Linked DNA regions of Cricetulus griseus. The protein of the gene in region 1 purifies or fractionates together with the protein of each later gene. This does not show direct contact. Links are inferred from orthologs where the notes say so. Each region holds a gene or a part of one and is shown on either strand. Other genes may lie near its edges.

Evidence for each region. The genes of interacting proteins can lie anywhere in the genome.
Region 2: the proteins of Mtnr1a (region 1) and Gnai3 purify together in Homo sapiens (tandem affinity purification; 3 studies listed by BioGRID and IntAct, with this or other methods). This does not show direct contact. The link is inferred for Cricetulus griseus from reciprocal best matches to the Homo sapiens genes MTNR1A and GNAI3.

What each region holds. Positions count from the first base shown.
Region 1 is NW_023276807.1:41,376,069-41,380,479, forward strand, and holds the start of Mtnr1a (melatonin receptor type 1A), read right to left. Parts: upstream 3,240-4,411; 5' UTR 3,176-3,239; coding exon 2,983-3,175; intron 1-2,982.
Region 2 is NW_023276806.1:49,019,575-49,023,921, forward strand, and holds part of Gnai3 (guanine nucleotide-binding protein G(i) subunit alpha), read left to right. Parts: intron 1-652; coding exon 653-781; intron 782-3,875; coding exon 3,876-4,005; intron 4,006-4,347. UniProt on the Homo sapiens protein: Heterotrimeric guanine nucleotide-binding proteins (G proteins) function as transducers downstream of G protein-coupled receptors (GPCRs) in numerous signaling cascades.

The sequences.
Region 1 (4,411 bases):
TCCAAGGGGGCTTGGAACTTAAGAATAAGATGGTAGCTTCCAAAGATTCAGTGGGGCTATAGAACAGTGCCACCTATGTTTCCCTAATTTGTTCCTTGTAATCATGGGCACCCAGACCCTAGCACCAGGACGACTTTGTAGAAGTCCGAGTTCTATAGAGCCCAACTCTATATGCATGAAAGCCTACTACTATTTTGTTAAGTTTCAGCCGTCGTTATATCCTGAATTATGAACAAGCAGGATGCTGTTGTATTGTTTTATGAAAAGTTTTATTAAGTATAATGTACATATAGAAAAATGCACCAATTCAGAGCCTGCAATGCTGCCCCTAGCAAAACAAAACAATCAAGTCCAAATGTCTGTCTAGCTTTACTTTCTCCACGTTTTTTCAAAGTATTTTCATAGACATCTGTTAGCTTGATACTTGCAACAGTTACAACAGAGCATAGTGTGGGGCTGAAGTTTAGGCATTCTGTCAAAAGTGGAAATTTGGAATGTATGCAGTGAGATCATAACTGCAGGAATCTCTCCACCGTGTTACACCCACTGGACTGGGGATGTATCATTTCTCGAAAGAAAAGAAAAAAAAAAAACTTGGACAGGAAAAGAGCAGATAATCAGTCAACCTTTAGCATCTGATTGGTTGCTTGGAGGCGGTGCAGGTTGTGATTGATCAGCCCCTCAGGTAATTAAATATTGGGGATTTCTTCCTCCAGACACCAAAGGCCATCCTAGTCTCTTGAGAAAAGGAAGAGGTTAAAAATAATTCTGCAATTATACCGAATTTCCAAAGGAAAGAACTATTTGAACGTTTGTGGGCTTTAGCATTCTTAACTCTTTTTTTTATCTTTCCTGTTTAGAAAAGATTTATATATTTTTATTTTCTCTGTATGGGTGTTTGTCTCCATGTGCGTATGTGTAGCACATACATGCCTTGTGTCCACGCAGGTGAGGAGAGTGTGTAGGATCCCCTGGAATTGGAGGTGCAGATGAACGAGAGCTGACACGTGGGTTCTGGGAACCTAATCTGGGTCTTCTGCAAGAGCAGCCAGTGCTGTTAACTGCCAAGACATCTTCCAGCCTATTTATCATCTTCCCATTTTTAAAACCAACCAAAAAAATTGAACAAATACACAAATTGAGCAGTCATTAAAACATTTATTTTGAGACAGGGTCTCATATGTAATTTTAGTTTGCCTGGAACTCACTGTATAGACCAGGCTGGCCTCAAACTCATAGAGACCCACTTGTCTCTTCCTTCTTGTACTGGGATTAAAGGTGTGCACAGTGACACCTAGCATCAATAAAACTTTTAATAAGCATCTAGTAACATAATTGAACCAGCTATCTTTAGCTCTGATCCAAATCACTATTTTTTTTTCTAAGCCTCAAATGGTTTGAACTCGACAGTGGTGTATTTTAGCAAATAGCCCAATTATAAAAATATGATGCTTTGTGGACTAAAGGTCACCTGGATCTTCCTTATAGCTTTGGGAATGCAGTATATAGACTCTCCGCTCAAGAAGTTGCTTAGCCAATGAAGCCCAGAGCGGTAGGGCAGTTGTGAGTACTTTTCTGAAGCCACTAGGAACGTGAACACTCTTTACAGGAAAGGTCTTGTACCATTCAGACTTCCCGAATGTAAGTTACAGACATGAGTGAAGCAGCGTGGATGGGCTCCAGGCAGAAGCTCGAAGAATCAACCCCTCCCACCCCAGAACCTCTGAGCTTCATGTGCCCCTCTCTGTAAAGTGGGTAAGTCTGACACCCCACCCTTGTGCTGACCAAAGAATTCTCTGTGTGGGGGTGCTGAGAGCCACATGCAGCCTGCAGAAAGTGACCCCCTACTTACAGGAGGGTGTGTGCTCCCCCGGCTATCCCTTTATTGCAGTGCTGAAAAATCAGACCTAGGACTTTCCCAGTGCTGGGCAAATGCTACCACTGAGCTATTGAATTCTGAAGACAGAATTCTACTTTAAGCCAATCGCTTGTGAAAGGAAGTCATCCCATTTCCTAAGCCAAATGGAAGTCATAGTATTAGATGACTTCAAACTAACTCCTATACTTTGCACAGCCTGAAGCATTTTGGAAGCTAGGGCAAAGGGGGAGGAGAGATATTCTACCTGAATTTGCATCTTCACAAGCTACCCACTTTAGGACAAAAATACTACTTTTGGCAAGTATTTAAATGAATGGCTTCCTCTCTACCATTCTTCCAAAGTTTACTTCCAAACAAGGGACAGAAAACCAAGTCACCCGACACCATTTAAAGATGAAAAGTAGTAGCTCATGAAGAACCTACAGACCTGCTCTTACCCAGGAAAACTGGTTCAACTCATTGCTTGGGGGAACCCCAAATGTAACTCAAATACTGAATTAAGCTTCATCCTACATTATATGTGAATGCATTCCTCGCTACAATGTCCATTTTTAATTTCAGACTTGTTGGCTTGAGGAGTGAAAGTCATTTTGCCCCTCTTCCAGCATTCTTAGGGCCACCCCCTCCGCCCTGCAGTGTGATGCTATTAGCTGAAAAAACCACACCTGACAAGAAAACAGAAACAGCTGCTCTGTCATTTTGGCAGCTCATGTATCTCCTCATATTTTAGCAAAGTTGGGAAAACTGATTTATATGCAAATCCAAACAACTGATGAGTTCCTTGATCTAATTTGAAAAGGTGTCTTGAGGAATTTACTCAACTGGTACCCTATCTAACGAACCCGAGAATCGGAAAGCTAGCGTGAAGGGAATACTCCTGAAGGGAACAGAAATCATTTAAGGGCTTTCCATCTCGAAGGACTGAAGACTTACGGAAGATCTCTGACAAGACATCTTAGAGGAAAGGGGTAAAGAGAAGGTAACCCACATTCTCTAAGAGGAAAGAATAACCCAAAGTTCCATGTCTCAGAGCCCAACTTCCTGAACTTTTCTCGGGGTCCCACAAGGGGGCTAGCGTTGGAAGAGGTGCTGGGAGTCCCTACCTGCGTTCCTGAGCTTCTTGTTGCGGTACACAGACAGGATGACCAGCAGGTTGCCCAGGATGTCCACCACGATGGTGAAGATGAGGATGAAGGCCAGCGTAGAGGCCAGCCACGACGGCCGCTGCTGCCCACCCTCCCCGCTGCCTGGTGCCTGCTGTGAGGCATTGAGTAGACCGCTGCCATTGCCCTTCATGGTCCCCTGGGTGTCTCACCGCAGCGCAGCCAAAGCCATCGTCCTGTCGCTCCGCGCCCCCGAGTGCCTGGCTCTGCTCCCGCCCTCTCCGCCACTTTTTATGGCTTGGCACAGCCCTCCCGCGCCTACTTTGCATCCTTAAGGCTGCTTCGCGGCGGTCCTGCCCCCTCCAGTCCCTCCCCGTGGCCGGACACCCTCTCTGCATTTGGCCGCTGACGCCTGCTGACACCTGCTGTCCACTGCCGGGCATCTTGGACTCCAAAGTCCCGCAGCACGTGCACATTGCGCCCTCGTGCGGGTAGACTCGGCAAGACGGGTGGAGCCGGCAAGCAGAGAGGAAATGAAGCTTTTCTCCTGGGATCTGGACCCACCCGGCATGCCACAAGGCATGGACTTGAACCCTAACCGGGACAGGAGTAGGTAACTGAGACACCAGATTCCCTAGATTCCTTATCGGCAGAGTGAGGATGAAATAGACTCTTAACTCATCAACTTTACAGTTACTGATGTGTAAAACTAAAATAAAAATGATTAAAAAAAAAAAAAAAGGACACCTTTTCGCTTTGACAACAAACCATACAGTATTTTGTGCTGGGTTTTTCGGGTAATTAAACGAAAAAAAATGTAAATATCAGTGAAAACAGGAACACGAGAAGAGAAAGCTGATGTAGAACCACAATGCAAGATTGCTGGGGAATGGATTAGTCAGCTCTGTACAGAAAGAAACAAAACCCCAAGACGTCCTGCGACACAGGAAAGGAGGCTTGCACAAACTAGGAGACATATGATGCCCTCATATTGAACACTTAAAATTCCCATGTTCTTACTATGTTTTATAGGAGCCCAATTCCCAAACATCTCTAGAGTCCTTTGAAGGAAAAAAAATGGAAGAAAGGAAATTTGAATAAGATGAATACCAGAAAAATGTGACCTTGCAATATTTAAAATAGACATTAAAAACTAAACAATGAGGCATAGTGGTTTTTGTTACAGCGCTGGAGGCTGAGGCTGGAGGATGGAGTTGCACAATCAGCCAGAGCTGTAGTACAAAGTCCTGTCTCAATAAATTATATTAAGTAAAGCTGTTGCATTCATCAACAATTTCAAGAAGAAATGAAATGCTGGATAGAGGGGCCTGAACACATAGCTCTGCTGATAGAGTGTTTGTGAAATCCTAGGGTCAATTCTCGGGACTGTATAAACAGGATATAGCATCTCAGTCATATAAACCCAGCA
Region 2 (4,347 bases), on another chromosome or scaffold:
ACAGGCGTGTACTAACATGTCCACCTGTGCTCTCACTGGGTCTAGTTCTTCTAATTTTCATAATTCAAATGTCATTTTTTAATGAGCTGTCAAATAGTTATGTATGTGGCTGACATAAATTTAGATATATGAGAGCTTTTGTTTTAATTTTTTTGTGTTTTGTTTTCATAAGGTCTTACTATGTAGCCCAGGCTTTACTGGAACTCTGGGGTTCAGGGTTACAGGTCTGTGCCACCTGTAGGTTTGGTTTTTTTTTGTTTTTGTTTTTGTTTTTTTCTGTATTAAGTACATAACTCATTTTATGTTAGATTTCAGGAAGTTTTCTTTAGCAGGAATAAAATTGCCTTGTTTTTAAAATTTGCCTTCACAGTATATTTAAAACCATTTTTGTTACTATGTATAGATGCTATTAATTTCCCTATGCTAGATTTACTTGCCCCCCCCCCCTTGTAATACTGAAGATTTAATATTTTTCTGCCTCTGAGGTGAATTTGAGGGTCTACTTTTTTTGTGGTTTGTTAGTACTTGGGATTGAATCTTGGGTCTTACACATGCTAGTAGCCAGCTAGTCTCAAGCAGAGAGTTTAGTCTGTTGACTTGTTGTGTTCATGGTTGGCTTTGCCAAGTAAAAACCAATGTATATTTCATCTAGTTACCTAAATGATTTGGATAGAATATCCCAGACCAACTACATTCCAACTCAACAAGATGTTCTTCGGACAAGAGTGAAAACTACAGGCATTGTGGAGACACACTTCACCTTCAAGGAGCTATACTTCAAGTAAGTTAACAAGCCTTTTTTGTAAGCAGTGTTCCTTGGTTTAGAAATTTAATATATTTATTGGCCATTAACTTAATGTCACATCTGATTGAAGCCTACACAGTTTTTTTTTTTTCCTCCAGGTAGCATCAGTATTTAAATCCATTTAGAGGAAATTGAATATAAAATTAAATAGCAATTTACCTATCATTAGCATTAATCATATAATTGCCAATTTGTGTTAGTTCACATTTATTTTCGAGACTTTTCTTAGTTGTCAAATAGGTATTGACTGTTGTTAGGATTGCAACAGTACTAAATAGGTAGAAAATATCTTTCATAGATGGCTTTACTCTGACATTGTGATACCAAAGTAGAAATATTTTCTTAGCAGCACCACTCCTCTCGCTGGTTCCCTTTCCCATTAAGTTTAATGGGGTGGAGCTAAACTTGGCTTGGCTTTTGTATTGATAGCATTGTGCTCAATTAAGTTTGTAGTGCAGTGCAGATTAGGCCTGGGGATAGAGGTATTTTGCATTGGTATGATGACAGAAACAGCAATTGTTTTAGAGGACATTCTGGTGTTTTAAAAGAGTTTCTCATAGCACCAGTAATTCTTAGAAAAGGCCTCCACTTCTCTTTTTGTTAATGGTCTTTTAAAAATACTAAAACTGTTTTTAGTTCCTTTTTCTGTTTGTGACCTTTGAGGTTGGAAATAACCTTTTCTCCTTCAAGGCATGATAAGTTTTCAAGAAGTTGCTTGCTTATGATTATGTGTGACATGTGAAAGTCAGCATTATTTCATACAAAGGAAACTACTACTACCTCTGATCCTCAAATGAAGAAGTCCACACAGGACTTAAACACTAGTACCAGTTGAGGTATTGGAATCTTGGGGCAGGCGAGTTAAGACAGGGTTTCTCTGTGTAGCCTTGGCTGTCCTGTATCTCACTCTGTAGTCCATGCTGGCTTTGAACTCATAGACCCACCAGCTTCTGCCTCCCAAGTGCTGGGATTAAAGATTAAAGGTGTGCACCACTACCATCCAACAAAGTATTGAAATCTTTTTGTTTGTTTGTTTGTTTGTTTGCTTGCCTGAGACAGGGTTTCTCTATGTAGCCTTGGCTGTACTGTAACTTACTCACTCTGTAGACCAGGTTGGTCTTAAACTTAGGAGATCTGCCTGCCTCTGCCTTTTGAGTGCTGGCATTAAAGGTGTGTGCCACCAATGCCCAGTAAGGTATTGGAATCTTAGCACACTAAAATGGATTTGGAACCTGGTGAATGGTTTTAGGGTAAACTGGCTGCTTATCGTAAGTACTGGTGATTTAATTAACAAAATCAGCAGGAACTATATGGATTACCTGTGAAGTCATAGGAACGAGATGCTTCTTTGTGTATTATAAAATTAATAATTCAGTTCCAATTTTAAATACCAAGACCAATATTCAGTGTGGGAAACATTTCTGGTTGATGTCATAGATTGATCTTTAGCAAGGTAGCTTTCTTTCTATGCAAGGATCAGTAGCCAAGTCCGATTAAAGTGCCACGTCCACTTTATTATTGGCATGTAGATATCTGATTATGAAGTACTATCACCTCTCCTTTTCCTCTTCTCTCTAGGCAAAACCACTATCCATTTATTCAAACATTTATTGAGCATCTACCATATGCAAGGCATTGTATAATTGCTTACTTGCCTCTCAGTTATGAGGTAATGTTTATAAAATGTTGATCTGTTAGTGAATAATACTGTGTTATTATGTACTAAAAGCTAGCATTGGGAATTTACAGTATTCTGCTAGTTTTATGGACTTACAGAATATGGGATGTAAAGTGGAATTATTGGTGTACTAATATGCCCCTCTTTGAAAGTTTTTTATAGTGAAACATTAGCCTTTCTAAAACCTTCAATACGACTCTGGATTAAGGCCAATTTGTGATTAAATCATTTAGCTGTCATGTAAGACCAAAGGTTGCAAAGAACTGCAAGATCCTCCAAGGAAGAGTTGGGTCAGGAAGAGATAGGATGAATGTTCATGTCAAACATAATTAGAGAAATCATGTGAATCTTACTTCTCTTAATCTGTAGTGGTGAAAATCCCTGGAAATTTAGGCTCTGAGTTACTGAAGATTTCACCAGTGCAGCAGACACTAGCCTTTAAAAACTTTACCATTGCTATCAGATACAGATCTTGAGTGTGCAAGCATTTGAATGCTGATTCCATCAGACTCAGGTATTGACTAAAAGATGTAGGGCAACTGTTCCCGTCATTGTAGGAGGTAAAAATGGACACTGTTGACACAAACTTAGCACTTAGAAGTCTAAAACAAATCTGGAATAGAACACAGTGTGTGAACAATTGAGGCTTTGCTGTTGCTGATTAGGTTCAAGCAAGGTAAGGTGTTGGGGAATACTGGTTAAGTTTATTTTTGTGATAGTCTTGCTGTGTAGACAGGCTGGCCTTGAACTTGCCATTCTTCCTCAGCCTCCAAAATGCTGAGATTATAGTCATTGCCCCCAAACTTGGCACAGATTTTAAGAAAAATTATTGATCAAATTGTTAGAATCCTAGTATAAAATTTAATTTCTTCCATAATTTTCCTTATATGTTTTTCATTAACACAAGGCAAATAAACTTGGGAGTCAGAATGCAAGATGGGTGTGCAGAAACAAGCCAGTTTGAGAGGCAGCATAGTGGGGCTGAGGAAAGTCTATAGAAACTGGAGTTAGAGTGCCAGATGGTCTAGGGTAGTGCCTGGCACCATGGTAAACATCCAACAAATACTAGTTGTTATGGCTGCAGTTATCTTAAGCTGTACTGTTCAGCTCTTCATTTATCCTTTCTTTTCCTTCCTTCCTTGAATCCATTTTTAGTTCTTAACTCCGCTGACATTTGGCACATCCAGTACATGTTTTGAGAGGGAGGGAGGCTCAGCTGTGGGCTCTACTTTTAGCCACTGACAATTATTTAGACATGTTTGATTTGATCCTTGTCTTTCCTGTTATAAATGGGGTTTGAATGTGTGATAATGGGGAGGTTCTTAGCCATGACATACTAGAGAGAAATATGAGTGTGACTTTGCTGAATCTGTGTTTTCTTTCTTTACTCAGAATGTTTGATGTAGGTGGCCAAAGATCAGAACGAAAAAAATGGATTCACTGTTTTGAGGGAGTGACAGCAATTATCTTTTGTGTGGCCCTCAGTGACTATGACCTTGTTCTGGCCGAGGATGAGGAAATGGTATGTTGAAGCTTTGGAATCATCCGATACAGCTAGGAAACGAACATAACCCAGGAAAATGTGTTGCTGCCATTTGCTTACAGAAATCCAAACTTAATGCCTTTTATTTTCTTGTCAGTGAGGTTAGATTTCCAAAATCAATTGTTCCATTCCCCGTTTGCTCTTGGTAGCCACATTATGTGGGCAGGATGGCATCGTGTCAGCCACCCCTTGCCATCCCCTAACCCCAAGAATTACACAAACCAGGATTGATTCAGCTTCAAGTTGTACTAGTGCCTAACTTCTATAATTCATTTTGCTGTCCTAAGGCCTTTTGGTATGTAAATGAATCTGCTTTCATTT